Diceros bicornis minor: one gene and its partners. The protein of the gene in region 3 purifies or fractionates together with the protein of the main gene of each other region. This does not show direct contact. Links are inferred from orthologs where the notes say so. Each region holds a gene or a part of one and is shown on either strand. Other genes may lie near its edges. The genes, in order: DDX23, DHX38, CD2BP2 and EAPP.

Region 1 (7,237 bases), on a different chromosome or scaffold from region 3:
CAGAGCCATTTTGGACCACTGCATTGATGACCTCATCCCATACCTATCACCCCTCACAGGGCTGTGCAATAGCCAAGCAGCTGGGTGCAGAAATCTACCTGGAAGGCTCAGCTTTCACCTCAGAAAAGAGTATCCACAGCATCTTCCGGACAGCATCCATGGTGTGTCTGAACAAGCCCAGCCCAGTGCCCCCGAAGAGCCCCGTCCGAAGCCTCTCCAAGCGACTGCTCCACCTCCCCAGTCGTTCCGAACTCATCTCTTCTACCTTCAAGAAGGAAAAGGCCAAAAGCTGTTCCATTATGTGAAATGGGGGTTGGAGAGGGGAGACAACCTCCCACTTCCTCCCTTGGGTTGCAAAGGCACGGGGAGAGGGAGGATGAGACAATTTAGGACACTGGACACGAGTTTTTCAGACGGCCACGGTGAGGGCTTGGAAGGAGACAGGAATGGGACAAGGAAAGAGCCAGGCCCAGCTTGAGGACCTGACACTGAGAAAGAACCATCACACCCCAAGCCAGGCACTAGGTGGTAGAGGGGGCAGCTGCTCCAGTGGCCCCCACTCCAGAGGAAGGAAAGGTGTGAGGGTATGGGGCATGCTGGCCTCATGGGCTCGGGGTCCTACAGGAGCCTCACCTTCAGTATCATGCCTCTTCCACACAGCGTTTCCATGCAGGCCAGGGGATGGGAGGGGTCCCTGAGCCCTTCTCTTCCCCCCTGAGGAGGCCGCAGAGGAGTGGACAGTGGGGAAGCCAAGAGGCAGCTCCCTTGGGAGCTGAGCCCAGGTGCTTCATAACTGGAATCAGAAGGGCAGGAGCTGGGCAGAGCCAATGAGAAGGAAACCTCATCTTTGCATAGCCCATGCCTCACGGAGAGGTGACATCATACATTCACATGCTTCTCACCTAAGTCCCCAGGGTCCAAGGGAGAAGCCCCAGACCGCCTTCTCTCGCAGTGTGGGGGTGGTGGTGCTGCAGGGGGCAGGACTGGGTGGGGGTCACCAGACTCTTTCTGCCCTTAGGGCAGTACAGCTGGCATTTGTTTTATAGACTCTTGTCTTCGGAATCGGGGGGCGGGGGGAGTGTTTCAATCTGTTATATGTTCTGTGTTTAAAGAAGAAAACTTATTTATTAATGAAAAATATAACATATATAAAGAAGCTGGCTCTGTTTTCTTAGTTTCTTGTTGCCTTTGGTCTTTGATAAGGAGGAAAAAGCTGTCCTGGAGTCCTGTCTGTAGGGCTGCCTCCACTGTTCCCTAGCACCTCCGACAAGGATCTCCTCCCTGTCCCCCCACCCCTGCCTCATCCCCAACCCCACCCAAGTCCTACTAAGCCAAAGAGGATCTCCTTAGCCCTAGAGCAGAGTTTTCAACCTTGGAACTAATGACATTTTGGGTTAGATAATGCTTTCTTGTGGGAGCTGTCTTGTCCTTTGGAGGATGTCTAGCAGCATCCCTGGCCTCTACGTACTAGATGTCAGTAGCACCCGCCAGTTGTCACAACCAAGAATGTCTCCAGATATTGCTAAATGTCCCCTGGGGCAAAATCACTCCTGGTTGAGAGAGTCTAGAGAGAAACAAGGTTTGGTGACATCATCGGTAGGGGATCCGCGCTGCTGAGATCCCAACCCCTGCCAAGTGTGGACACAGTGAAGCCAACATTGTGGGGAGGTTCCTGGGGTTCTGGTCTCCTCTGAGTTCATGTCTTCTGCTTTCTTGACCTTCCAATTCAGTTGCCTGTTGATGGCAGCTCAGGGGACTTAACATCCCTTCTCTTCAGTGACTTATAGCTCTTTTTTCCAAGTTTCATAGTGTGCTAAAAATAAAAGGCTACTATGTCTTGAGTACTTACTATGTGCTCAGCACTGTGCTGAGAGCTTTACCTACATTATCACATTTAACCTCATATAAATGATAATAGCTAACATTGTTAAATGTTTACTATGGGTCAGGGTGGCTATGAGTTCTTCATATGTTATTTATTCCTGTGATAACCCTATGGGGTACTACCTACCTCATTTTACAGACAAGGAAACTGAGGTTCAGAGAGATTAGTTAATGTGTCCAAGGTCACACAGCCAGAAACTGATAGAACCTGGATACAGATCAAGGCAACCTGGCTCCAGAACGTGCACTTTTCACTGCTCTGCTATCCTATCCTGTGAGGCAAGTGGCATTATTATCCCTATTCTATAAAGGAAAGGAAATAGAAAAGCCAGAGAGGCCATATAACTCGCATGAGATCATTCTGCTAGTAAGTAATGGAGTCAGGATTCCAACTGGTTCTCAATGTTAAGTATAATCCCATAGGCCCCTTCTTGCCAGCCCTGTTGTACCTAAATAGGAGATTCTACCTATGGTCCTTACTAGAACGTAGTCCCCCTGTCTCCATCTCCAAAGATGCATGTTTGTGAAAGAACTATCAGGGTAATACAAACAACAATGAGTATCCTTTAAGCTCAGTGTCTTACACATGTCATGAGAAAGATGTGCACAAGTACTGGGGGAACTCTGCCACTATGAACTTGGACAAGCTTCATCGCCTTTCTAGGTCTCAATGTACTTATGTTTAAAGACGGTTTAGAATGGCAGCCTGGAAATAGGGAAGGAACATGGTCTCTGGGTTTAAAAGAAACTGGAGTGGAATCCTGGCTCTCCTCTTTATGGCACTTTGAAGTCATAATTAATCTTTCTGGGCCACAATCTCCATATCAGTAAAGTAGAGATAATACTTAGCTCATACTGTTATGAGAACTAAGTAAAGTAAGATAAGTGTCCAGCACAGAGTTGGACACTTAGAAGATTCTCAGTAAATAGTAGCTGCCGCTCTTAAACATTCCAGTCCGAGTGTTACTTGGAGTTCCACTCTGTGAGTGGAGAGCCCTCCAGTGTTCACTGGGTGAATTACACCTAGTAGATCTCAGACATCCTTTTCCTTCAGTTCTCTCTGGAGTAGAAGTGGGGAGGCCAGAGGCTGCAGAGTTCTAAGAGCAGAAGTGTGCCTCTCCCAGGGTTACTATGGGACATTGTGCGTGATGCTCAGGGCTTTAGGATTATTTGAGTCTATCCTGAGGCGCTGCTTGAGGAGAATTGAAGGCATATTTAGAAAAAATAGCCAGACCTACAGCCATGTGGGATTAAAACCAAAAAGCTGATGCTGGGAAAATGAGAAGGAAGGAGGCATTCGATACTTCCTAGTATCTATCTAAACCATCCTAAAAATTGCAAGGTTTGGGGGGTTCTTTGGGTTTTTTGGGGGGGAGGGGAGAATTATGAACCATAAGACCAAAAAGAAACAAAGTGAACATACAATTTGGGGCAAAAAAGGCTCAGTGGAGGACTGAGGAGGGGGGACTAGGAGGAAGAAAGAAGGCAAAATATGAAGATAGCCTAACAACTGGCCACATTGCAAAGGGCAAGAAAATGAGGAAGCCAGGGGTTCTATCTGGAAGGCTGAGAAAAATAGGTGCTACAGCCCAGGCGACACCATCCTTCGGGGAGGTCTTTGAAGGAATCCATCGTGTGCGCTCATTTTGAGCTGTTACAGTAACTGGGGGTTGTTACTGCGGGGCCAGGGTTGCTAAAATGTGCTCCTAAACTTGGGATAGTCCCGCACAATGAATTGTCCCACTCTCACTGTGAAATACTAGGCTACTCCTGTATCATAACCTTTAGTTTGTCACCTGTAAAATGTGGCTAATAATCTATCTCACAGATTTTTTTTGTAAAAACGCTTTTCCACACACGGTATTTGTTGGTGTTACTGCAGTTGCTAGTACTATTGATATCTAAGGTAGCCCTTAAATTCTTCCGTTATAAGCCACAGGCCGTGATAGTCCTTAACTGCAGTTTCCAGGAAGACTACACGGTGACAGAACCTTTTTAGGGCAGCCGACCCACGGAAAACTCTTCCTCCCGCTGACTCAAATATTTGGCGAACCACATTGCCCAGCAGACCCCGCGGCTCGGCCCGGCGCTCGCGCCGTGCATTCTGGGATTGGTAGTTCTCTGGCCTCAGTTGTCAACCTGCGCCGCCCCAGACCAGGAACTCGCCTTCCCAGCTTGCCGCGCGCCCGGGGGGTGCGTCTCGGCGACCAGGAAACGGGAAAAATGGCGACTGCTCGGCGACGTTGAGGCCGCGTTGGGCGGTTCAGACTCAAGAGTGGTGAGTCCCGGGCGGTGGATGCGGTTCCCACGAGCTTGCAGAGAGGGCGAGAGTGGGGGCACTGCGGTGGCCCCTGCCTCCGGGACGAGGCGGAGAAGAACGCCTTAGGGAAGGGGCACGAGCTCGGAAAGCTCTGGCGAGCAGGAGCGAAGGCGCGCGGGCCCCAGAAGGGAGTGTTGGCTCCTGGGGGCACAGGCCAAGTCCCAGGACGATGTTACGGGCCAGACCTTTGCCCATGGGCACAGCACCCGTGATACCCCCAGTATGACCTTCCTTCCTGTTTCAAGTAGCCCTTGCTCCAGCCAAACTGGAACTCTGGCTTTTCTCCCAGAACCAGTCATGCTTTCCCGCCTCTCTGCCTCCTATATTATTTCTTTTGCCGGGAATGACTCCTTTTCTGCACCCTCAATTACACGTCTTCAAATTCTACCTATACTTAAACGCTCAAGAGCCACTTCCTCTGCACCTCTTTCCAAATCCCGTTTCACAAATGAAAGGAAACTTCTTTTTTGAACTCCTGTAATAACTTAATCTGAGCCTTCATTTTGGTATGTGTCTCATACCTTCTATTGTTCTGTAAGCTTCCTGTGGACAAAATCTTCCTGATTTCCTTTTGTAACTCACACGGCGCCTAGCACGGTTCCTTGCATATAGTGGATGCTTGATAAATACTTCGTTGAATGAAAAAAAGAACTTGCTCTCGCCCTACAAGAACTGAGGAACTCAAAGTTCTGGAAATTTGCAAGGAAGACTGCTGGGAAGCAATGGTCAGAGTGGGCCATTGTGATAGGTAGAATCTATAATAAAAGTTGTCTATTTTTACTGTTTTCTTATTCTCACCTCTTATTGTCTTCTAAAGTCACTCCACTCAGGCTTCTACTCCCTCCATGCCATGGAAACAGCTCTTGTCAAGGTCACCAACCATCTCCATTTTTCCAAATGCAAGGGTCACTCCTCCATCTCCTAGTCTTTCTCCACTTGACACAGTTAACAACTCCCTCCTTGGAATATGTGTTTGGTTTCTGGGATGCCATACTTTACTTTTTTTCCTCCTTTCTCACTGGCTGTTGCTTCTTTCCTGTCTTTTTTCCTGGTTCCTCCTGTGCCTGACCTCTAAATGTTACAGTGTTCCAGAGGTCAATCCTGGGTCCTCTTCTCTTCTATTTTTTTCTTTAACTATACTACCTACTTAGGTAATATCATTTAGTGTCTCATGGCTTTAAAAGCCATCTATATATTGATGACTGAAATTTTTGTCTCCAGGTACTCTCTCCTGAGTTCCAAAATTGCATTTTCAGCTGCCTTCCTGAAATCTCCACTTGGCTTTCTTACTGACATCTTACACACAACATGGCCAAAATGAAACTTTTGATTTCCTCCTAAACCTGTTCCTTCCCCAATCTTCTCCGGTCACTAATGGTACCATGAACCATTAGGTTGGTCAAACCATAAATTTGGGAGCTAACTTTGTGTCCTGTCTTTCCCTTTCTCTTTTCATTGCTAAGTCCTGTCAGCTCTGCCTCCGAAGTATACCCTGAAGCTGTCTACTTCTTTCCATCTCCGTTGCCACTTTCCTAGAACAAGCCCCTGGCATCTCTTGCCTAGACTACTATAATAGCATTCTCAGTGGTTCTGTTTCCACACTTGCCTCCCTGCTGTAAATTTTCTCCCAAGTCACCAAAGTAATTCTTTAAAAATGTAAAATTAGATCACATCACTTCCTGTTTAACACCCTTCTAAGGTTCCCATTGCAGTTAGATAAAAATCCAAGTTCCTTTACCCTGGCTCAAAACACATTTCCATGATCTGATTCCTGTTTACCTCCCTGAACTCATCTTGAATCAATCAGTCTTCCTCCCTGGGGCAGTGCCACTCAGCCACACAAGTCTGTTTTTAATTGGCAAACATACTAAGCTAGTTGCTGCCCCAGTGCCTTAGTACTTGCTGTCCCTTCTACCCATTAAGTTCTTTTCCCTGATCTTTGGAGGCTGTCTTTCCCATCATTCAAATCTCAGCTTACATGTCATCTAAGAAATTCTTTACTGAGCCCTCTATCTCTTGTTCATACCCCTCCCTTTTATATCACCCTGTTTTATTCTCTGCATTAGCGTTATTACTATTTGAAATTTTCTTATCTTTCTGCCTGTTATCTGCTTCACTGGAATTTAAGCTTTATGAGATCAGGGAATTTGTTTTGTTTACTGCTATATCTCTAGTATGTAGAACAGTTTCTGGCACCTACCAGGTGCTCAATGAATATTTGTTGAAAGAATGAATGATGTCCAGGATGCTTTATAGAGAAGATAGCCTTTCTTCTGGCTTGTTTTCTTAGGGCTATAAGTGGAAGAGACATAAGTATAACTTCCATGTGTTATGCATAACATACTGATAACAAAACATTCAGTAATTTCTCAGGCAGTTGTGAGATAAAATGGGTTGTATCCACCTTTTGAAAGTGTTAATTGTTCATTTTTCTTTTCTTTATACATTCTCCCTTCTTAAAGATATATGGCAGGAAATTACATGGGAAAGGGGGATTGTAAGCTAAGGCTTAGGGAACAGATATTCCAGCTGAACCATTTGGGGATAAAATAAGTTCTGAGAAATGTATCAGTCTTCGGGATGATGATGATGGTGGGGGTCGGGGGAGTAGTAGAGGCAGATTCAGACTTGCTGTCCTTGTAGCTCCTAGCTGAAGTAGATTTTTGTAGTCTGAAGGACAGGTGACAGTGTGGCATGGTGTTCAGTGTCCCAGGCAGGAGGGGAACAGAACAAATTCCTGCTCAGACCTTTCATGGGACTTGGTAATGATCAAGGCTGTGAAGATCTGAGCAGGGAATGTCAGTCAGAGTGTCTGTGACCTCTAGTTTTTGCTTCCTTCCTTCCTCTCCCTTCCTTTATAGATTCACAGGAAGTTGCAGAAAAAGAAGTGCATGGAGGTCCTGTGTACCATTCACCAAGTTTTTCCCGTTGCATAACTAGAAGTACATTTTTTAACATCTGAGTAGTAAAAGTGACTTTGTTTCTCCATTTAAATTTAGCTTTTCCTTAGGGTGCTGATTATAATCCCAAATC
Region 2 (7,486 bases), on a different chromosome or scaffold from region 3:
TCCATGCCAATCATCCTCTATTTTTTAGTATGTGGGCCAGCAAAACAACACGGCTGCTAACAGAGTGGTGTAGGTCCACGCCCGGGAAGGGAACCCAGGCTGCTGGAGCAGAGCACGCCGAACTAGGCCCCTGGGGCTGGCCCTGACTGTAAAGTTTTTATAAACTTTTTATGGATTTATCAAATCCATGCTCACTTAAACAAAAACACAAAACAATTCAGAAGTATGTACTAGACACTGAAATTCCCCCAAGTCTCTTTCCTTCCAACCCCCCCATAAATGATAATTATAATAGCAAACACCTACATGGCACTTAAGATGTGCTAACTGTCCTAAGTGCTTTACACTTGTTAACTCCTTTAATCCTTACAACATTTCTTTTTTTTTTTTTTTAAATATTTTATTTATTTATTTTTCCCCTCCAAAGCCCCAGTAGATTGTTGTAGGTCATAGCTGCACATCCTTCTAGTTGCTGTATGTGGGACGCGGCCTCAGCATGGCCGGAGAAGCGGTGCGTCGGTGGGTGCCTGGGATCCGAACCCGGGCCGCCAGCAGCGGAGCGCGCGCACTTAACCGTTAAGTCACGGGGCCGGCCCTTACAACATTTCTATGAGGTATACACTATTACAGTTCCCATGTCACAGGTGAGGAGACCGAGGCACAGGGAGGTAATCTGCCCCTTGTCACACAGCTAGTTAGTATTAAGGCTGGGATTTGAACTCAGGCAGCTTCAGAGTTTATACCTTTGACCCCTAGTGATAGTCCCTCTCTGCTACAGCTGAGGGTGTAATCCTCTGGCCCTTCCCCCCAGGTAACGCATCACACACTCATTTTCAATCACAGTAATGAGGATTCTTAAAATTGATCCACATAGTGGGTGTCAGTAATAAAAATGGTGGAAGAGGTCTTAGTCCAGGGTAAGTCTCTCTCCATAATAAACAGAGACAAGAATAAACCTACTCTGTCCCATACTCCCCACCAACTCATCAGAGTGTGAAGATGTGCTGTGAAAACACAGATTATCATCAGGCATACACTGGAGGCAGCACACTAGAAAAGCATATTTGCAGGCAGAGGAAGCGAAGCTCAAATCCCAGCTCTGCCATGTAGTGGTTCTGTGCCTGTGGGAAGTCACTGATCTCCCCGGCATTCACCTGCTCCTCTGGGAACAGTAATAGTAATTATCTAACTGTTGTGAGCAATAAGATGATGTTCACAGATGCTTGTTATTAACGTTTTCTGCTCTTCGCTGCCTTGTTGGTGATGCTGAGCTTCGACTGCTGTTAGTGGGGAAGCACATCCAGGACAGGCTCAGCACAATCCCAGTTTAGGGGTGCAGCTCAGGGCAGACACACGATCAACTCTTAAAGTGTGCTAATGAATGAAGGGCTACATCCCTGGGCCCTGCCTGCTCCCTTTCATGCACTTTGCAGATGTTGAAGTGAGAATGTATAGATTTTTAATGAAAACCATTTCTTGTAAAAATTCACTTACAATATCATCTAGCTGCAGACAGACAGGATCCTCGTCTCTCCCAAACCTGAGGACCAGCACCTTCTCTGCAGTACTTTTTATCACCTGGTCTACTTCTTTTTTGCTAGTCAGCTTGGGCAACAGGAAGCTCATCTTGAAATAATCCAAATATTAATCCTCACTGTTAGTCCTAAAATCAAGTCGTAATGTTTAAAGACAGTTAGACTTAGTGCATGAGTCCTAGTTAAACAAATTAAAAAGCTTTGGAATAGGTAATATATTCAGATGGTTTAAAAAGAAACAATATAGAAAGACCTACTGTGAAAAAATCCCTTCCTCCGGCCCAGTTCTCAGTGCCCCATTCCCCCCGACACCAGGTAACTACTTTCATTAGTTTCTCATGTATCTTCCAGAGTTTTGTTATGCATTCACAAGAAAAGACAAATATGCATTCCTATGGTTTCTCCCTTTTTTACCCAAAAGATAGCCTATTGTATCAGTCAGTTTTCCAGCAGGAGAGAGATGACATCCTCAAATTTGGTAATTTGAAGAGACTTTCATTAAGGCAGGGTGTAGGAAACAACAGGTACAGTGCTGTACTCTGGGGCTAGTCACAGTAGGGCGCTGTTCCCACATGAGGCCTGAGGGAGCCACGGGAGGGAGGAGTTAGCAGAACTGTGTGGGAGGACTGCTGAATGGAGAAGGCCGCTGTAGAGGAGGCCAGCCTGCAGTTAAAGGACGCAGCCACTCTCCTCCCTCCCTCTGATCTGCTAATGCTCCCACTGGCTGCCTCCCTCTGGAATCAGAGGGCAGGGGAGCTGCAGAAGCAGGCAAGCCTCCTGTCCCACAGCAGTCTAGAGAAGGAGGAAGAGTGGATCTGGAGGAGCAAACGACAGATGTCCTGCACATACAATTTACCCACTCCTCTGCGCTTTACACCTTTTTACCTAACATAAGAAGATCTTCCCCTATCGCTACACAGAAAACTTCACATTCTTTGTCACAGCAGCATTCTATCTCATGTATGGACCATACTTTTCAAACAGTCCTTTACTGACGAACATTTGTATTACCATGAGTCCTGGCTTAAAGATTCTTGGTGCATATCTTACTAGGTGCACCTATCTTACCACATGGCAAACACCGATTAAGTGTGTGTGAAAACCACATAAAAATAAACAAATCGTAAAATACTGAGATAGAAGGGGCCTAATCTAACTCCCTCAATTTACATACTTGTTTGTTTATAGTTACACTCTTAGCTAAAGAACTAGGACTAGAATCCAGGCCACCAGATTTCTACTTCAGCATTCTTTCTACTACAATAAGCTCCTATTTTTATGACTGAGAAACTCTTTGATCAAGGAGCTTTATTTTTGAGTCCATCCATGAGAGACTCCATCGAGATACTTGATATTTTGAATTCATTTCCAAAGTTGGCTAAAGCTAATAAAAGGGAGGATTTCTTTCTGTATTTTTTTTTGTGACAAGTCACATTTTAAGATATGAATTAATAAAAATTCACATAGGAAATGAAATAGTTCCAGTAACAGGTCATACTTTACAAAGGGAAGTTGATTGCCAGATGGGACTTCATCAAATGTGAGTGGCAGAATAAATTACTGATGAGAGGGAAAGTCGAAGAAAAGATGGCTCTGTCCCACCACTAGAATTCAAACTAACAGCAACTCCCCTATGTTACTGATGAAGAGGAGGAAGTGAGGGGAGGACAAAGCTTCAATAGGAGGGGAACCTGGGGGTTGGAGAGGTGTGGGGTGGGACTGGATAAATGTTGGAAAGAGGAGAGAGAAACTGAGACCATACCTAAGAAAATGTCCATAGCGAAGGATAACAACAGCGAATTCACAAAAGAAGAGGTACAAATGGACAAATATATTTGGAAAGTTAAGATTTACTACTAAGCAAAGGAAAGCAAGTTAAATGATATATTTAAAAAAGCCATTAAATTGGCAAAGATTAAACAATGATGGCAGGAGTGTGAGTGAAGGGGCAGGCATTCATAGTCTCTGCTGGAATGTAGAGGAGCAAAACTTCTCTAGAAAGAAAACTGAAATACTCTTTGGCTAACAATGCCATTTCTGAGAATTCCTTCTTAGTAAGTAATCAGACGTGTGCACAAAGATTTAAATAAAGGACATCCATCACATTTATAACGGTGAAAAACCGGAAACAACCTAAATGGCCATCAATAGGGGACTGGTAAAATAAATGACAGTGCAGTCCTGCCATGTACTATTATAGAGTCGTTAAATATTGTGTTAGAGATGAACACTGCAGATACTGAAGTTCTCCATGAAGAAAAATGTTATAAAATAGTATATGAAGATCCCCTTTTGTACAAAACCTAACTATAACGCATCTGTACATGTTAACATAGAAAAATAACTGGAAATGAATATCCCAACACACCATCAGTGGTAATCTCTGCGTGTGAACAGACGAGTGATTTTTATTTACATTGGGGTGCGCGTCTTTACTTCTCCAAAATACCCGACGTATATGTTTTTAACGATGCCTGTGATTAGGCTATTCCTGGCCCACAACTGCCAGGGAAGATGATACTCACTTTACTTGTACAAGTCACTTCCCTCTTTTCCACTTCAGGGCTGTCGGCACCTCCGACCCTTCTCCAAAAAGCCGGGACGCGGGCGGCTCCTTTCTTCCGTCCCAACCGCCGCAGCGACCCTACTCCAAAGTACCCCCAGGGGCTGATGCCTAGCAACCCTCAGCGGCCCACTTGAGGGGACGGAAACGGAAAGAGAAAACGCACAGCCGCAGTAGACGGACGCGAAACAGTCCCCACTCAAGCGCTCAACAACAAGAACAGACTGTTCTAGTCACCGCCTCCTCCCCCGGCTCTAACCGGAAGCCTTAGAGTCACTTCCGCCCTTATTAAACATGACCGACCTCTCTGCCTCTCCTTCCCCCTTCTCCGACTAGAGGCGGGCCTTCGCCTCTTAGACTAAGCGTGATTGGTCGCAAGGAGACTCGGAAGTGTCTCTGATCAGAGCCCCACAGGAGGGCACTCTAGCCTTGAGAGCGTGGTCGCGTTGTGTCCCACACAGGGAGCCCGGAACTGGCGTTTTCCGGGCTGCTCTCGATGGTACCCTTGGACAGATAGAGGGGACCGCGCAGCGTTTCATGGGACAATAATGGCGGCTTTCGAGGTTGAGGTTTTGGCTCTTTAAGGCGGTCTGAGCCAGGAGTGGCGGCACCGGCGCCCCAGAATCCGGGACAGAAGGTCCCGAGAGTCGGGCTTGGTGAGGTGAGTGTCCCTTCTTCCTTCCTGACGTGCCCTTCGCCAATCATGGCGGCTCCAGGCGGCGGATATCAGTCCCTCGCTCAGGTTCTGGCCTGGGTTTGGCAAGTCTTGTCCCTGTCACCCAACTTGCCTCACTCACCCTAAGGATGCTGCGCCAGTCCGTCGTGCCCCGGCCTTTCTCCTTGCTCTGGTCAGATCCTGCTGCCTGGGGCGGCCTCACTGGGGTCCAGGGATGCTGCCCGGGGTCCACCCTTCCTCAGGTCTCGGCATTAGCTCCCTCCCAGACGGACGCCGAGCCCAAGTAGGGCTCCTTGTGTCTTCCTCTTCCGTCACAGTGTATCTCTACCAGGCCATGTCTTCTACGAGAATATCAACTCCAAGAGGGCGGGGCATTTGTCTGTCTGTTCTCTGCTCCATCCTATTGCCCAGAACAGCGATTGACTCACAGAACGCACTCAATGAATAATTGTTGGATGAGTAAATCCAGTTTCTTTCTTCATCGTTTTTCTCCTATCCCTTGTGGCTTCTTTGCCATTAATCCTTCTCCGGAATCTAGCCCTTAACTCCTTATTTGTTCTGCTCAGCAGCGAGTTAAGTCTGTCAGACTCCTTGTCCTGTGCTGCTGGTATCTTCCCTTGCTGTCTGTAGAAATGTTTGGCCTCTCATCTCTTATAATCAGTTTAAACTCATTTATTCATTTATTCATCAGACTTTTATTTTGCTAGGTACTGGGCATAGCAGTCAACAAGACAAGGTTCTCTCTCCTGCATAGAATGACGTTCTAGGGATATATTTTCTAGTTCAGACTACTGGTGAGCAGAGTCTGTATATCTTACCTTCCTATTTAGATATCCTCACATGCGGACAGATGTTACCAATATGCAGCTTCCTTTTCTATTCTGCCTGATGGCATTTTTCAAAATTCATCTCTTGTTTCTGTCCATGTTATGAGTCTGGTCTGTTTGGCAATATTCTTCTATAGAGCTGTGCATGTTAATTAGAGCTGGGCAACACCTTCTGGATTCTGGTGGTACCCTACCCCTTGACAGTTCCTTTGCTTCACTGACTTGTTGGAATGAGGAGAATTATCCAAGCACTCAGAATTGAGTATGTTTATAAACGGATGGTGTGTAGCGGGAGGTAAAGAGGAATTTGGTACAAGTTGAATGCGAGGAAATCTTGCAGTCACCTTGATACTTTTTAGAAACATTGTTTCCCAGCCTAGTGCTTCTCATCAGTATTTGTGGTGAACATGGATTGTTATTAAACAGATTTTGACTGCTGTGAGGTTTTTCTTTTCTACAAAACACAACTAATGTATGGATCACATGGATAGTAGCCTTGTACCCCACTATCTCTACTTTGCTGTATCTGTAGTTTAAAGGGAGGGACAAGTAGAAGAACTCATGTAAAAAAATGATAAGAGACTCATTCGGTATATAGGAGCACAGCAAATAATGTAACAGTTCCGTTTGTGTAGTTTTTATGGTTACAGAGAGCATTCAGATGCACTTCCTTGTTTGATTCTCACAACAACTTCATGGATTAGATAAAGCAAAAATTATTTCCATTTTACAGATATAGAAATTATGCCTAACCACAGATTAAGTTATTTTTACAATCATACAGGTAGAAAATGTCAAGAGCCTGGATTCTAATTATGGTTTCTGACTACAAATCTTTTGGTATTTCCCCTATACTCCCTTTATAGATGCCACCAGGCTTTAGTAAGTGTCCCTTAGTGAGGTCTGTTCTTGCCTGGATGATATCCTCTTGGATCCTGGTGTTTGGCTTGCGTGTGTGGGCTGTGTGTGTGTGTATCTATTTCTGATGTGTCTTGGGGTGGTGGTAAGAGGATCTTTTGAGATTGTCAATGACTTGATGGCAAGGTCTTGGCAAGAGATAGCTAAAGTAATCCTGGCCTTGAGATGGAGGTTAACTCCCTAAATATACCTATAACTACAATTATCCTTGGATATAGCCGAGCCAAACTTTCTCTCCACTTATGTCTAATACCAAGTGATTTGTCTTCCTTCCAGAGAAATCTCAGAGCCTGTCATGGAGGACACCAGTGAGGATGCCTCGATCCATCGATTGGAAGGCACTGATCTGGACTCTCAGGTTGGCGGTCTTATTTGCAAGACCAAAAGTGCAGCCAGTGAGCAACATGTCTTCAAGGCCCCTGCTCCTCGCCCTTCATTGCTGGGACTGGACTTATTGGCTTCCTTGAAACGAAGGGAGCGAGAGGAGAAGGATGATGGGGAGGACAAGAAGAAGTCCAGAATCTCTTCCTACAAGGACTGGGAAGAGAGCAAGGATGACCAGAGGGACGCTGAGGAGGAGGGCAGTGATCAGGCTGGCCTAAGTAGCCGAAAAGACAGGTAAAGGCCTTAGGGTGGATTGACCCAAAGGGAATGAACATGGAGGCCTGAAAATAACATCCCATGTTTCTCTCTCAGTTTCTTGTTGGACATTTAGAGCTTTATGATTTTATTATGATTTTTTAATATTGAGGCTAGATAGGAAGTGGTATTTTCTTCAGATTTATGGGAAACATTCAAAGGCAACTGAGGAGTAGATGATGGGATTAGAAATGCTTTGCGTTGTCATGTGTAAGTCTGTAGTACCAGGGAGATAAGTGGAAAAGGACAGGTCACTTGTTTGGCGCAGCGAAAGGTTTGGGGCAAGGTTATTTTTCCTATGGAGGGGCTCTTGACCAGCTGCCCTCCC
Region 3 (7,649 bases):
TAGGAAGGTAGATGGAGGTGTGTGGTGCTAAAGCTCTGAGGTTAATCTGGAACTGGATCTAGGAGGGGTCTTGGCTGGGGCTGGGGGGTAGGGTGCAGGTTTACTTTGGGTCAGAGAGCTCCCAACTCCTGTGATTGCCCTCATGGTCTTTTCCAATACCCACAGGCAACAGGACCTGTATCGAATCCTGAAGGCCTACACCATCTACCGGCCTGACGAGGGCTACTGCCAGGCCCAGGCCCCAGTGGCTGCAGTGCTGCTCATGCACATGCCTGCTGAGGTCAGCATATGCTGGTCCTGGTTGGAGAGGGGCTGGGAGGATCTTGGCCTGCAGTGGTGATGGGGGAGCTCTCTGCTCCATTTCTCAGGCCCCATCCATTCCTCCTTGTTCTTGCCCTTTTCAGCAAGCCTTTTGGTGTCTGGTGCAGATCTGCGACAAGTACCTCCCCGGTTACTACAGTGCAGGGCTGGTAAGTGTCTGGAGTCTGGGTGCAACCGGGGCTGTGACTTTTAACCAAGGCTGCAGGGAGGTCCTTGTCCTGCCCCATCCTGTGTCCTTCTGTCCCTCTCCTCTGGGCCTTTCCCGCTGAGGTGAGGATCCTGTACCAGGGCCATTTCTACCCCAAGGGGGCTACAGCAGGCCTCTTTTCATGGCTCATCCCACTTCCAGGAGGCCATTCAGCTAGACGGAGAAATCTTTTTTGCACTATTGCGCCGGGCCTCCCCTCTGGCACATCGGCACCTGCGGCGGCAGCGCATTGACCCCGTGCTCTACATGACAGAATGGTTCATGTGCATCTTCGCCCGCACCCTGCCCTGGGCTTCAGTGCTGCGTGTCTGGGATATGTTCTTCTGTGAAGGTACTTCTGTAGCCATTCAGGCCATGAGGGGGCTAGAGTTTCCATGGTGGCTGCCAGAGGGTGGCCCACTAACACTGTTGGGCCTTGGCTTCACTGTAAGCCAGCTGGGGGCTGGAGAAACTGAGGCTTCGTCTTGGCTCTGCCACCAACCCAGAGCCTGCTCTCCCTCAGGACCCTGAAACCCATGGCAGCTCATTTCCCTTCTTGGGGCCTCAGTTTCCTCATCTGTAAGGTTGGCAGTAGACAGGGATGGGGGCTATCAGTCCCTTCTATGTGGGACGGGCTGGGATCCCACGCCTGATCACATATGCTCTCTTCTTTCTGACCCTGCAGGCGTCAAGATCATCTTCCGGGTGGCCCTGGTGCTGCTGCGGCACACACTGGGCTCGGTGGAGAAGCTGCGCTCCTGCCAAGGCATGTATGAAACCATGGAGCAGCTGCGCAACCTGCCCCAACAGTGCATGCAGGAGGACTTCCTGGTGCATGAGGTAGGTCTTGGCCTTAGCAAACCCCACACCTGCTTCAGCCCATCCCCACCCTCGTCTTCATTCTGGTACTCATTTCTTCTCGGTCTAGGTGACCAACCTCCCGGTGACAGAGGCACTGATTGAGCGAGAGAACGCAGCCCAGCTCAAGAAGTGGCGGGAGACCCGGGGGGAGCTGCAGTATCGACCTTCACGGCGACTGCATGGCTCCCGGGCCATCCACGAGGAGCGCCGGAGGCAGCAGCCACCCCTCGGCCCCTCATCCAGCCTCCTCAGCCTCCCTGGCCTCAAGAGCCGTGGCTCCCGGGCAACTGGAGGGCCCCCCTCCCCACCTCCTCCTGCCCGCAGGGCCAGTGCTGGGCCTGCCCCAGGGCCTGTGGTCACTGCTGAGGGACTGCATCCCTCCCTTCCTTCGCCTACTGGCAACAGCACCCCACTGGGTCCCAGCAAGGAGACCCGGAGGCAGGAGAAGGAGCGGCAGAAACAGGAAAAGGAACGTGAGAAGGAGCGGCAGAAACAGGAGAAAGAGCGGGAGAAGCAGGAGAAGGAGCGGCAGAAGTGGGAAAAAGAGCAGGAGAAGGAGCAGCAGAAGCAGGAGAAGGAGCGGCAGAAGCAGGAGAAGGAGCAGCAGAAGCAGGAGAAGGAGCGGCAGAAGCAGGAGAAGAAGGCCCAAGGCAGGAAGCTTTCGCTGCGTCGAAAGGCAGATGGTCCCCCCGCTCCCCAGGATGGTGGGGACAGGTCCTCGGCATCTGAGGCCCGGCAGGATGCTTACTTTTGACCTCTGCCCTGGGGCTGGACTGCATGGCCCCCCTCTTTTTCCCTCAGCCAAGAGCAGGCCAGTTGTCCCTCTTTCTGAGGAAAGTGGCTTGATTCCCCATCCCCTTGCTAGCTGCTGATCCCTGCACAGCCAGGACAGTTGGAGTGCACGGGGCAGCTGCATTTCCCTGGGGCAGCCGTGAGCAAGTCTGGGGCCCCTCACCTCCAGTTAGGCCCAGCTGGGGTCTCTGTCACTCCTGCCCCAATTCCCTCTGGGGTCCCTTCCCAGGTGCTGTCCTGATCGGCCTTTTGTCACCACAGGGTGACTCTTGGCAATGGGAGTCAGCAGTTTTCAGATTCTTACACTCCAGTTGCTCCCCTTACCCGTGAAGTGGAGCTGGGTTCCTTTCTCCCTTCTTCAGTCCTGCCTGTCGCCCCCACTTCCTGGCTGGGGGCCGAGGCTCTCCTCACTCTACTTCTGGACATCTCTGTGTTGTAATTATGTACAGAGGACCTGGTTGGCCCAGGGTGGGGGTGCTTGCTCTATCTTCTGTCCTTGAGTTCTCCTGCACTCTGGTTTATTTAAGGGGACATGCACTGGAACAGGAAATGTCCCCCACTTCCTACCCACCGCCGTCCTTGCTCTCCTTTCTCTTCACCCACCCTCCTCTGTATTCTCAGGCCTCCCCTGCTTTGTCTCACCAGGACCCCCATCTTTCACCTTATTCCCTTCCAATCGTCCAGCCTCTTATCTGGGTAAGGGGTCTTCCCTTGAGCTCCAGGGGGTAGAATCCAATGTTTACATTCTCTTCTGTCTCTGCTCCCACCCAGTGTGGCGCTTTGAGGAACCAGAAAAGAACCTGCTGTTGTACCTGGGCCTGTCTCCTGCTTTGTTATTTGATGGAGGGGTTTAGAATAAGGACTAGGGAGGGACAGAGCAAGCCAGAATCTGGGTGTCTATTGAAGCAGTTGGCTGGTCTTTGCAGGTGGGTACCTCTTGGCCTTTGATCCATCTCTCAGTCACTCATCAACAAACAGTGGTTGAGCTCCTGCTCCACCTTTGCCTGGGATCTGCTGCCTTCATTGTCACTGGCCTCCTGGAGTCCTCTATGCACTACCTGCAGTGCCCAGATCTCCTTCCAGAAGCGCTCATGCAACTCCTGGAAGCTGGAGGGGGAACTGAGGGTAGCTAGAAAGCCACAGTCCTCTAGGGGTGAGCTGGGCTCTTGGCCAGCAGCCTGGCACAGCTCCTGGTACTGGGCCTCCCGTGTGGGTAGCAGCACAGACAGCCACCTCCAGCTCACTCCAGCCAGCGCCCACAGCCAGGCTCCCAGTTCCTTCTCGTTTTCTGCTGCCAGCTTGTAGGCCCGCCCACCTTCTGTGTCCTCTACCCTGGGAGTCAGCATGGTGAAGTCATAGGATTCTGTGGCTCCACTTGGCAGTTCTCCAACAGGATGAGGCCCAGAGGTGTGCGGTCTGCCTGGTGCTCCAGGTAAAAGAGGTTTCCCCGGAGGATGAACCAGCGGCCCTGGTAGCTGGTATTTTGGGCCCCCCTCTTTAGCAAGATGCTCTTGATCTGGAGCCTGTGCTCTGTACCCACGGAAGAAACTGAGCACAGACTTTTGGTGCAGTTTCATGGTAGTCCAATCTGGGAGGAAACCCTGGGAGCAGGAGAGAGGAGTGGAGGGTCTGTCGCGTTACCCTGGGGACCCCATGCTGCCTTCCTTTGGCTCCAGTGGGCTCTTCCTGGGCACAGCTTTAGCCTAGTGGGATTCAGACTCTGAGTATCCTCAAGAGCTGGAGGTATTGTCCCCAGAGCACTGGGATCCGCTTCTCCCACCTCCCAACCCCAGCTCTGCCCCTTGTGCCAGATAACCTGGGCAGGGGATGCAGGGCTGGGGCCCTGTTTGCTAAGCAGGGGGATTTACTCTGCGGCTTTGGTGCAAGAGAAAGAGGCACTGCTGCCCTTTTCCAGGCCTACCTGAGGTCAGGGCACAAGGGGCTTCTGGCCTGGGTACTGGGCACAGGTGTCACTGCCACCTATCCTGTGATGGCTCTTCCCATCAGAACCAGGAATTCGCCCAGGGGGTAGGTGCGGGGTAAATGACTTCCCCTGGGTCCTAAAGGGAGCTGGTTTCAGCAAGTGCCCCAAGGGCCGTCAGAGGCTTCCAGCCGGGCATCAGGAAAGCCGGGCTTCCCCTTAGGGAGAACAGCAAGGCTGCACTTGGGACTAGGACAGGGTAGACAACGACGCTGAGAGCGGGAAGACAGGATTTCTGATGAGATGGTGAGGGGCGTAGAGACCTTGGCCAGCGCTGGGGGAAACTAGAGCAGTAACCCACTGGCCCTGCTGGGACTTTGCCCTTCCATCGTGACCCGGGGCGCCACTTTAAGTAGAGTGCGTCCCACTTTCACTCCAGAGCCTCTACTGCTGTACTAGGGAATGGAAGCTACTTCCGGCCATTCCTCTCGTCCGATGAGGGTTTAGGCGTTCATACGTCTCCTCTTCTCGCCTCCGTCGCCCCACACGGTTCACGTCACTTCCGGGAGGGAGGTGTCTCCGCCCCCCGCTCATTCCGTACTTCCGCCCGCTCTTCCAGTTAGTCCTCTAACCCGAGTGAAGCCACTTCCGGCTTTCCCTGGCGACTTCCGCAGTTCTCTTCCGGGCGATGTCGGCGGGTGCCCCGGATGTAGCCCTGGTGAAGGCATCTATCCTTTTCTTCCCCCGCCTACCCTGGATCCTTAGGTGAGCGCGCACTGGTGAAACTGTTCGAAACCCCGTGGCTCTGCCGGCTCCCTTATTTGTACACACAGGCCGGGACAGCTGGGAGTCACCCCGCGGAGTTGGGAGTTCGGCATGGGGAGGGGCGGGGCGACCAGGGTGCCAGGTCTTGCGTCCGCCGGGGCCTCGTGGGCTCTGGGGGAGCTGGAGGTGGAGAAGCGGGTGTCAGCCCGCGGAGCCCCGTCGCGCCCAGGGCTGCGGGGGCCGGGAATGAGGGCGTTCACTTAGGGGAGCCTGTCTCTTTTCGTCAAGGGTGGGGGCGTCCATAGGGAGCTTCTGCGCGCGTCCACTTCTCCGTCCCCGCCCCAGCAACTCTTTCTGATGCCAAACCAACTCCTGGGGGCCGCCTCGCTGCCAACTCCCCTTTCGGCCCCCGATTCTGTGCTCCCTCCCCTCTCAAACTGGATCTAGTACGTATATTCGTTGTGCTGGGGGCCCTCTCGCTGTGAGTATCCTTGCCCAGTTCCCTTAATCTGCACCGTTTCCCTCGGCTCAGCTTGGGGACCGCCCCTCTGTCCAGTCATGCCAAAGAGGAAAGTGACCTTCCAAGGCGTCGGAGATGAGGATGATGAAGATGAAATCGGTGTCCCTAAGAAGAAGGTGAGGGGCACAGACTCCTGCGTTCTGGGGAGGAGGTAGGGGAGAAAAAAGAAACGAAGTCAGAAGAGGAAAAACCTGGAGGAACAAAGAAAGGGTAGAAAAAGCTAGCTTTTCGATGTTCTCTGGGAAATGGGCTTGGAGGATTATCATTTTGAGTTCAGATGCTAGAGTATCTTGAGGAATAGCCAGTAACCTGCATCTCTCGACTCGCTGGCTCTTGCTCACAGCTGGTGGACCCTGTGGCTGGGGCAGGGGGTCCTGGGAGCCGCTTCAAAGGCAAACACTCTTTGGACAGTGATGAGGAGGATGATGATGATGAGGGATCCAGCAAATATGACATCCTGGCCTCAGAGGATGTGGAAGGTGAGCTATACCCAAGAGTTGACTTTCTGCTGTAGGAACAAATAGGGGTTTGGGGCGATGTGTGGCAGGGGGCTCCTCTTTTTCGCATGCCTAGCATGAGACACTTGTGTCTTTGGTGCAGGTCAAGAAGCAGCCACACTACCCAGTGAGGGAGGTGTGCGGATTACACCCTTCAACCTGCAGGAGGAGATGGAGGAAGGCCACTTTGATGCTGATGGCAACTACTTCCTGAACCGGGATGCTCAGATCCGAGATAGCTGGCTGGACAACATTGACTGGGTGTGGCCCAGGGACTGGCATGGCTGGGGCCTGGAGGCAGCAAGTGCTGGGCTTCGGCCCTGCTGGCAGCTTTCAGCAAATAACCCTTACTATTTTCATATTACAGGTGAAGATCAGGGAGCGGCCACCTGATCAGCGCCCACTGTCAGACTCGGAGGAAGAGGACAGCCTGGGCCAGACACCAATGAGTGCCCAAGCCCTCCTAGAGGGCCTTTTGGAGCTGCTGTTGCCAAGGGAGACAGTGGCTGGGGCACTGAGGCGTCTAGGGGCCCGAGGAGGAAGCAAAGGGGGCAGCAAGGGGCCTGGGCGGCCCAGTTCCCCCCAGCGCCTGGACCGGCTCTCTGGGTTGGCTGACCAGATGGTGGCCCGGGGCAACCTTGGCGTATATCAGGAAACAAGGGAACGGTTGGCCATGCGGCTGAAGGGATTGGGGTGCCAGACCCAGGGACCTCCTGACCCCACACCCCCACCCTCTCTGGACATGTTTGCTGAGGAAGTGGCAGAGGAAGAGCTGGAGACCCCAACTGCTGCCCAGAGAGGAGGTGAGATTGAAGGGCAGAGGAAGGGTGTTGTGGGCAGGGGCAGAGCACTTGAGGCCCAACTGGCTTTGCCTGTTATTTTAGAAGCAGAGTCGCCTGGCGACGGTCTGGTGGATGTGATGTGGGAGTATAAGTGGGAGAACACAGGGGATGCTGAGCTGTACGGGCCCTTCACCAGCACCCAGATGCAGGTAAACCCCTTTCTACTTCGTTCTGCTGCTTCTCTCCCTCCTCCTACCCCATCAGTTCGTTCCCAGCTCTACTCTCTCTTCTTGCAGACCTGGGTGAATGAAGGCTACTTCCCGGATGGTGTTTATTGCCGGAAGCTGGACCCCCCAGGTGGACAGTTCTACAACTCCAAACGTATTGACTTTGATCTCTACACTTGAGCCTGCTGAGGGCCCAGTTTGGTGGCCCCTTCTTTCCTGGACTCTGAGGAGGATGCCCCAGCTGCCCCAGGCAGTGAGGATATTGGGGGCCACTTTTCAGTTAATTTTCCTTTCCTAATAAAAGTCTTTAGTTGTGTATTAGGGCCTTCGCTGTGCTGATGGCCAAAAGCCAGGACCTTCTCCACAGCCCCTCGCCTCTGTCCTTGAGTGTGTCCTCATGAAGTTCTTTCTTGGGAGTTTCTCTTCCTTTGAACCACTTCGCCGTTGTTTACCACTCCTATGGGCAGAGCCAGGGCTATCAGGTGGCCTGTGGCCTCTCCACCTGGACTCTGCTCACCATCGAAAAATCCTTCAACTTGCACAATGTTGTCCGATATCCTCTGGGGGTTTCTGTTTTGCTGTTCTTAGGGCTTTGGTTTTTAGTACTTCACAGTCTCTTTCCTTGCAGCCAGTACAGGATAGAGCCCCAGAAGTGGAGATTTTAGGCCAGGAAGGGCTGCGACATATGTTGGGGGTAAGCAGGAAGCCTGGTACTCACTGCCACCCCACTGTCTCTAGCTCTTTAGGTGAAGTGCATACTCAGTGTTGGCACCTGA
Region 4 (7,996 bases), on a different chromosome or scaffold from region 3:
CCTCTGTGGAACTTGCGCTGGGTGGGTGAGCGGTCTTGGGTGGTGGGCACACACCAGTTGGGATGTGAAACGTCTGCAAAATACGTGGAGCCAGGGCAAGGAGTCCAACCCGGACATCAGTGTTCTCTGCCCCTCCCCTTCCACTCCAGCGCCTCTCCAGGAAGTCCACAGAACCTGGACCCGTTTCGGGAAGCAGCCGCCTCTGCCAAAGGACTTCAGGTCGGTGGGCAGAGGAGAGGAGCCACGGCCTCGAAGGCTTGGTATCTGTCGGCCTGATCACGTCCTGGGCTGTCCTGGACGTGGTCTCTCCACCTGATCCAATAGCCTTTCTCCAGTCACTTCTCAGTGAGCCTAGGTCATTGCGGGCAGGAGGGTGGAGGAACACATCAGCACCCGGGGAGGAGAGGCTCTCGGGCCGGGAAAATACAAGCCGAGCCTGGAACATGGAGCTGAGCCAAAAAGAAAAGAAATGTGCAGTGAGTGATGCGGTCACGGCAAGCGCAAAACAGTCAGTTTGAAAGAGCTCCCGCGGGCGAAATCAAGGTACTGATAGTAATGGATTATATACTCCATCGAATAAAATAAAACTACGATTAGTTTCACTTGTACTAAATGTTAACGAAACAGAAAGACGGCAGCGCTCTCCGCAACATGTGTTCACTAAGCGCTGTAAGCATAGCAGATTACCCGTAACTAAGTGAGCGATCGCATAAGTTGCCGGGTCTTACGTTTGCACACCACAACCCTCATGAGAGAGCGCGAACGCAATTCCCTGCTACCACAAGTTATGCAGTCGAGTTACCCACATTCGGAGAAATTGCACAAGTCAGCACATCCACAGCGCAATAAATAAACCTCGTCCTGGAAAACCACCTTCGTGATCATGGTATCTCCCCTGCCAGATAAGTATAAGTCCCCCCCGCACGCTGCACCCCGCACCCCGCACCCTCGCATGCGCCCCGCTCCATACGCACGGTCACTTCCCTCGCGCCCCCCGCCGCACTCGCCCCCTCCAGGCCCGGTGCTCCCACCACGCCCACCCGGACCACGACCCTGGCGGCGTTCGGATCTCCACACGCAGGACGCCGCGGCCCGGCCAAGCGGGACCAGCAGCCTCTGCGCGCACGGTCATCTGCATACGCCACGCCCCTGTCGTGACGTCCGCTGCGTCCCGTCTCCCGCTCGGGGATACGGGACCTACGAATCCCCACCGGAGACCCGACGAGTCCGGGACCTGGAGGGGACGCCCGGGAAGACCGGATCTCGCGGCGCCGGCGCCCGGCAGCTGAGGGCCCCCTGGGGGCGGGTCAGGGCTCGGGTCTGGTCTCGCCTTCCTTTCAGCAAAAAGGAAGTTTCAGCGCATTTTGTCCTTGCCCGGCCGACCGAACTCATTCTCCCTGGACACGATTATTATGAGGGCAGCCCCCCCCCATTAAACATCTAAGTACTGATATTTCCCCAAGCAACTCCACAGGGATCGTTTTCCCATGGCGCCATCCTCAGTAAGCCTGTCATAAACTACATCACATGAACTGCCTCAACATACACAACAACTAAACCTAGGGAAATCTAAAGGAAAAAAAAGTCAAGGTTCTAAGCTTGAAGAAAGAAAACCAGGGCAAAGTACAAATTTCATCCACTGTGCAAATTGTGCAGTGGTGGAGTTAAGTATATAATACTAGTAAATAGAAAAGTATTTTATTTTATTTATTTTTTTTGAGGAAGATCAGCCCTGAGCTAACATCCATGCTAATCTTCCTCTTTTTGCTGAGGAAGACCTGCTCTGAGCTAACATCTATTGCCAATCCTCCTCCTCTTTTTCCCCAAAGCCCCAGTAGATAGTTGTATGTCATAGTTGCATCCTTCTAGTTGCGGCCACAGCATGGCCGGAGAAGCGGTGCGTCAGTGAGCGCCCGGGATCCGAACCCAGGCTGCCAGTAGCAGAGCGGGAGCACTTAACCGCCAAGCTACGGGGCCAGCCCCTAGAAAAGTATTTTAAAACACTTAAAAAATTTGTAAATATACTGTTATGTTTTACAGTAAGTTCATGATATCTGAAATATTCCATTTAATCTGTTCATGTCTCCTTTTGTTTTTAGATAGTGAGGCCAACACAATTTTTTAGACAGTAAACACAACTTTTCTATCTCTGCTACTCTGCCCATTGAGGGGTGGAGTCTGTCTCCTCCCCTGGAATCTGGACTTAGTGACTAGCTTGACCAATAGAATGTGGCAGAAGTGATGTTCAGAGAATTCTGAGGCTAGGTCAGAAGAAGCCTTGTAGCTTCCATCTGGGTCTCTGGGAACCCTCTCCGCCAGACTTGAGCTGCTATCTAAGAAGGCTGACTACTCTGGGGCTGCCATATTGTACGGAAGCCCAAGGCTTTGTGGAGAAGGATGCATGAAAAGAGAGATGCTCAGTGAGTCCCCAGCAGTTTCAGTCCTAAACTGAGACCCCAGAGTAATCCCTGCCAAAACTGCAGATTTGTGATGAAATTAGATGATTGTTTTTGTTTCAAAGCTCTTAAATTTTGGGGTGGTGTTTTTGTGCAGCAATAGAGAAATGGAACAGGAAGAAAGAAATAAGCAAACAAGTAACATGAATCAGAAGGGGAAAAATGTGGATTAAAGGATAGAGAAGATGGGATGGAGAGAAGGGGTTGGGGTTGCGGGCTTAAAGTTTTTGATAAGGGGGTCAGGGAAAGCTCTCTGCTTCTCTCTGTTACACACTTGTGCTTTTCTTTGCTTGCTCATCATCAACACATATAACCCCTAAACAGCCATCCTAAAATGGCAGCCTCAGCTCCTGAGTTTACTTGTCCTGTTACAAGTCCTAGGACCACAGCCAACTCTTTAGAATCTGTAACTCTTACTTTTAAGTTTATGGGAGTAAGTAGGTAAGTAATGGCCCAACTTTCATGGAGCAGAATGATTATGGATATAAGGGCATATCCCTGAGGAGGGCCACAATTCCCAGAAAAGGAAAAATGGATTCCCCAACAGGTGTCCCCTTCACATCACTGTGACTCATGGAAGAGTACTGTACCTCTCAAAAGAGTTGGGTGGAACAATAGTTGAAAACCAGAGAAACACATGGCACGTGTGAGTGGTACCTTATCCTACAAGAGTTCAAAGCAGAGAAAGATCCCATGTAGAGAGAGAATCTGAAAAGGCATCATAGAAAAGGTACAGTGTGAGTTCCCAGAACTATGGCATCTCATGGCTGAAAGGTATCCTAAAGGGTCATTCTATATATTTATTGACCCATCCATTGCTTGCAGAAGGATCTTGAGGTAGGGTTTGGATGGTGGAATTAGAAGTAGGAGAGGGTGGGGGGGCTGGCCAGGTGGCATAGTGGTTGGGTTTGCACACTCCGCTTTGGCGGCCCAGGGTCCACAGATTCGGATCCCGGGTGCAGACCTATGCACCACTTATCAAGCCATGCTGTGGTAGGCGTCCCACATATAAAGTAGAGGAAGATGGGCACGGTTGTTAGCCCAGGGCCAATCTTCCTCAGCAAAAAGAGGAGGATTGGCAACAGATGTTAGCTCGGGGCTAATCTTCCTCACCAAAAAAAAAAAAAAAAGTAGCAGAGAGTGCTTCAGGGAATAGCATAAGCAAAAGCCTAGTGGTGGAAGGCATAACGCATATTCTCGAATCAGCAAATTGTGCTGGATATCTGTAGGGATGGCATGATGCATTGAACTATATTGTGGAGGGCCAAGAATATTGCAGAATAAGGCGAACAGATCAGCCAGCGAAGGTGAAATATTGGGACATTTTAGGAAGGAAGTCATCCAGAGCAAAAGCTGTGCTGGAAGAGCGTTACTCTGCCAGTAGAGAGTAGCATGGATTGCAGAGGGAACAAAAGCAAAGTAAGGCTGTCAGTTAGGAGCCTGTATCAATAGTCAAAGTGAGGGGTGGGGAGATGGGAGGTGGGTGAGAGAGGTATTGCTAAGAGATCTACAGGACTTGGGAATTGAGGGCTCATGGAGGGACAGAGAAGGAGTCAACCAAGATTCCAAGACTTTCAGCCTATGGCAGTTGTAAGGATGGAGGAAGTGACATACGCAGAAATCAGAAGTCAAAAGTAGTTATTGGCTGAGATATAGGAACGGGGTGGAAGATGGTGAGTGTGGTCTGGGCTACGTTGACTTTGAATTGCCGGTGGTGCAGCAGGCGGAGTTACCTAGCCAGGCGATTGGAAATCCAACCTGGTACCGGAGGAGAAGGCAAGGACCACATAAGACGGGGCAGTCACCTGATTGGGATCATGCAGAGGGAAGAATTGTCCGGAAGGAGGCAGGAACTTGAGTGTAGGCCAATACAGAAACAGGGGAGGAAACGGTCTCACAATCGGGAAGCTGTCATCGGCTTCACCTCGAGTATCGAGTGGAATCGGATAAAGGCTGAGCAAAGGTTGGGACTGAGGAGAGGCCAAGAAAATGCAATTAGGAAGTAACTGGTGGCAACCTAGCAACTTTCCGGTAGACAGTTGGGGCTGAAGTCAGACTGAGGAGAACAGGGTGAGCCCGAGGCAGCCGCGCAGTGACAAAAAAAGAAAAGCTTGAGGCGAGGAGGTTGGAGGGACATCGGGTGCTAGTGTCTGGGGACCCACTGGCCCGGACTTCAGGCTGCATGTCTCTCAGCATCTAGATTTCTGCTTCTTCACGTCACGGCGGGAGACAATGCACTTGGAGCGTTCATCTCAGAGACTGCCATTTACGAAGGTGCCAATTACTATTTCCGGTAATAGGGTAGCCGTTTCCAGGTGAGCAGAAGCCTCGGAGGGCAGTGTCGAGACACGGGGACCCGCCCCCTCTCCCCGCCCCCTCGTTGGGACGATCTGCGCAGGCGCGCAGGGAGGGCGCGGAAGTGCGGGCGGAAGTGAAGTGCGGTCGGAAGTGAAGTGCGGTCGGAAGTGAAGTGCGGTCGGAGGTGGAGTCCGGAACGCTTTAGGGAAGGGACCTGCGGCGTAAACAGATGCTTTGCCGACGCCTGTAGACCGTGTCGGAGGGCGCAGGCCATCATGAACCGGCTCCAAGATGACTATGACCCCTACGCAATTGAAGAGCCTAGCGACGAGGAGCCGGCTTTGAGCAGGTGGGCCCCTGCCCCGTTCTTGCCCCGAGGCTTCGGGCCGAGGCCAGGCCTTAGTCTCCTCCCCTCCCTGCGCCTGCCGCGCTCGTGTGGACCCTCGGCCCGGCGGTTGTCGCGCCCCGCTGTCCCCTGTGGGACGCCGAGGGGGCTTCTGGTGAGGTCGCGCAGCCACGGGGGAGGCGGGGCTGACACCCGCTTGGGGAAGAGGGATATTCTGGAATTCTGCGTTTGTCTTCAAAAGCCGTGAGATCGAATCCTGCCTCTGCAGCTTACTAGCAGTGTGACTGAAGGCAAGTCAGTTATCCTCGATTTCTCATCTGTAAAGAGGAAATATAATAACTATATCGGAAGTATGTTGTGAGGTTACGGGACTTAATGTGAAGTGACCATCTTGAAGACTAAACTGCCGTAAACAGAAATAAGGGACTATTTAACAGACGTTTTCTGAGCACCTGTTAAATGCTTGCTCTGGGCTACAGAGGTCAGTCCTAAGATATTTGTCTTTTACAGGTTTCCAGTACAGTAGGGGAAATAAGGTATATGTTTCGGAAATAAGCATGTATCTCAGAAGAGTGTTGTAGAAAACTATGACCTGAGATAGGCACAGATGAAGTTCCATGGGAATTTCCAGAAGGGAGGGATTAATCCTACCTGGGGGAAACTTGGGATTATGTTGGCAAGAAATTTGCAGGCAAATTAAGCCATTTTTTAAGTTGTCAGCAGATTCTATTCATAAACTTTAAAATATTCTATCCGACTAAGCTTTCTGTGAAACTGTCCTTCCTTTAGCCACAATGTTTCCTCATACTATCCTGGGGAGGGTTGTAGGCATGAGAGAGCAAACTGCTGTGGAGATTTCTGTGGTGGGAAGTGAGGATGGGTTCCAGGATACCCTGTGAAAAAGCGTTTCAGTTAATGAGTCCCGTCTGTAAAGGAGGTATATGTAGGCCTCTTGGAATATAGCCGTGTTTCCTGGACTTGAGTTATTCCCCCACTTACCATCTCCATAGTCACCCGGGTTATTATTTATTTAATATTTTTCTTTAAATCAGTTTACATTTTTGTAGTTAAGTTTCTTTGAGGAAGCTTTATAATCCTGTGACGGTTGTCACTGGTAAGGTAACTATAAAAATAAATGCTGTGAGGGCTGGCTGGGGGGTGCAGCGGTTAAGTTCACGCATTCTGCTTCGGCGTCCTAGGGTTTCCTGGCTTGGATCCTGGGAGTGGACCTACTCACTGCTCATCAAGCCTTGCTGAGGCAGCGTCCCACATAGAAGAACTAGAAGGACCTATAACTAGAATATACAGTTATGTACTGGGGGCTTTGGGGAGGGAAAAAAAGAAGAAAAGAGGAAGATGGGCAACAGATGTTAGCTCAGGGCCACTCTTTCTCAAAAGAAGAAAAAAGAAAAGAAAAGCTGTTAAAAAAAGACTACGAAAACAAAACTGTTATTAATGTTGCCTGCTCAAGGCTCTAAATCAAATGCTTGTTGTTTTGAAAAGGGAGATTGGTGTTAGAGAGATGTTTAAGAGATGTCGGTCAGCATTTGATTTTACCCTACTTATAAGCTAATATTTTATAGCCTGTTACTGTTTCATGGAAGCTGGCAGAAGACATGAGACTCGTGGGTCAGAGACAACTCACAGCACAGCAAGCAGCATGAGCATCATGTTTGTGTTGCTCGCTGTTAGTTCCCAAGTCTTACAGGGGTTACCCGGAGAGGCCCAGATGGATGCTACACATTCAGTGGGTTGGCATCGAGGCTCAGGACCACTTGAGCTTGGAGAATCCACCTCTTTTACAGCAGGCAGTAAATAAGCCTGCTCTCTGTCTTGGAAAGAGACATTGCCTCATCCCTCAAGGTTGTTCACTGCAAACGCAGGCCTGGGTGAAGAGTGATCAGAACCTTGCATTCTTGGCATACTCAACAGGAATGTGCAGGGCCCGTGATGTATTGCTTCGCCCAGCGGTGCTAAGTGCTGAGATTTCTGTTGAAATAATCACAAGGATTGAAGAAAATTTGAGAAAAGTATAACTCTCTTGCCATGTGATTCAATTTTTTTTTAGTTAAACTTTTTATTTTGAGGTGGGTTCACATGCAGTTGTAAGAAATAATGCAGAGATTCTCTGTTCCCTTTACCCAGTTTCCCCCAGTGTTAACATACTGCAGAAGTACAGTACATATCACAGCTGGGATACTGACATTGATACAGTCAAGACACAGAACATCTCCATCACCATAAGGGTTCCTCATATTACCATTGTCCGCCCCTGTGCCCTCCTTAACCTCTGGTAACCACTAATCTATTCTCCATTTCTACAATTTTGTCATTTTCAAGAATATTATATAAATAGAATCATACAGTATATAACCTTGTGGGATTGGCTTTTTTCACTCGGCATAATTCTCTGGAGATTCATCCACATTGTTGAAGGTATCAATAGTTCATTCCTTTTTTATTGCTGAACAGTATTCTGTATTTGTTTAACCATTCATTCATTGAAGGACATCTGGTTGTTTCCAATTTTGACTATTGTGAATAAAGCTGCTATAAACATTCATGTATAGGTTTTTGTGTGAATTTAAGTTTTCATTTCTCTGGGATAAATGCCCAGGTGTGTGATTGCTGTGTTGTGTGGTAGTTGCCTGTTTCGTTTTATAAGAAACTGCCAAGCTGTTTTCCATAGTGGCTGTACCATTTTATATTCCCACTAGCAATGGCTTCATTGTTACTTAGTGGGCTGTCTGCCTGCCACTCCTTAAAATAATCTACATTCCACACTTTGGAACACTAGCATATTGGCTAAATCAATAAACTGGATAAATCTCAACCTTGGCAGCATTGACCTCTTAGGTCAGATAATTCTCTGTTGTGGGGGCTGTCCTGTGCATTG

Evidence for each region.
Region 1: the proteins of CD2BP2 (region 3) and DDX23 purify together in Homo sapiens (affinity purification with mass spectrometry; 6 studies listed by BioGRID and IntAct, counting the BioPlex papers as one, with this or other methods). This does not show direct contact. The link is inferred for Diceros bicornis minor from reciprocal best matches to the Homo sapiens genes CD2BP2 and DDX23.
Region 2: the proteins of CD2BP2 (region 3) and DHX38 purify together in Homo sapiens (affinity purification with mass spectrometry; 3 studies listed by BioGRID and IntAct, counting the BioPlex papers as one, with this or other methods). This does not show direct contact. The link is inferred for Diceros bicornis minor from reciprocal best matches to the Homo sapiens genes CD2BP2 and DHX38.
Region 4: the proteins of CD2BP2 (region 3) and EAPP purify together in Homo sapiens (affinity purification with mass spectrometry; 3 studies listed by BioGRID and IntAct, counting the BioPlex papers as one, with this or other methods). This does not show direct contact. The link is inferred for Diceros bicornis minor from reciprocal best matches to the Homo sapiens genes CD2BP2 and EAPP.

Annotation. Positions count from the first base shown.
Region 1 is NC_080756.1:20,755,270-20,762,506, forward strand, and holds the start of DDX23 (probable ATP-dependent RNA helicase DDX23), read left to right. Parts: upstream 1-4,099; 5' UTR 4,100-4,162; intron 4,163-7,065; 5' UTR 7,066-7,095; coding exon 7,096-7,101; exon of another isoform or gene 7,102-7,146; intron 7,147-7,154; exon of another isoform or gene 7,155-7,175; intron 7,176-7,237. Other genes in the region: RND1 (rho-related GTP-binding protein Rho6), read left to right, coding at 60-305. UniProt on the Homo sapiens protein: Involved in pre-mRNA splicing and its phosphorylated form (by SRPK2) is required for spliceosomal B complex formation.
Region 2 is NC_080771.1:23,320,630-23,328,115, reverse strand, and holds the start of DHX38 (pre-mRNA-splicing factor ATP-dependent RNA helicase PRP16), read left to right. Parts: upstream 1-4,486; 5' UTR 4,487-4,759; intron 4,760-4,895; exon of another isoform or gene 4,896-5,051; intron 5,052-6,795; 5' UTR 6,796-6,814; coding exon 6,815-7,137; intron 7,138-7,486. Other genes in the region: TXNL4B (thioredoxin-like protein 4B), read right to left, coding at 1,495-1,626. UniProt on the Homo sapiens protein: Probable ATP-binding RNA helicase. Involved in pre-mRNA splicing as component of the spliceosome.
Region 3 is NC_080765.1:21,531,667-21,539,315, forward strand, and holds CD2BP2 (CD2 antigen cytoplasmic tail-binding protein 2), read left to right. Parts: upstream 1-4,555; 5' UTR 4,556-4,847; intron 4,848-5,142; exon of another isoform or gene 5,143-5,293; intron 5,294-5,379; 5' UTR 5,380-5,405; coding exon 5,406-5,483; intron 5,484-5,710; coding exon 5,711-5,846; intron 5,847-5,967; coding exon 5,968-6,125; intron 6,126-6,231; coding exon 6,232-6,667; intron 6,668-6,748; coding exon 6,749-6,855; intron 6,856-6,942; coding exon 6,943-7,053; 3' UTR 7,054-7,191; downstream 7,192-7,649. Other genes in the region: TBC1D10B (TBC1 domain family member 10B), read left to right, coding at 166-280, 405-470, 671-860, 1,194-1,348, 1,437-2,123. UniProt on the Homo sapiens protein: Involved in pre-mRNA splicing as component of the U5 snRNP complex that is involved in spliceosome assembly.
Region 4 is NC_080744.1:14,753,487-14,761,482, forward strand, and holds the start of EAPP (E2F-associated phosphoprotein), read left to right. Parts: upstream 1-4,938; 5' UTR 4,939-5,029; coding exon 5,030-5,103; intron 5,104-7,996. UniProt on the Homo sapiens protein: May play an important role in the fine-tuning of both major E2F1 activities, the regulation of the cell-cycle and the induction of apoptosis. Promotes S-phase entry, and inhibits p14(ARP) expression.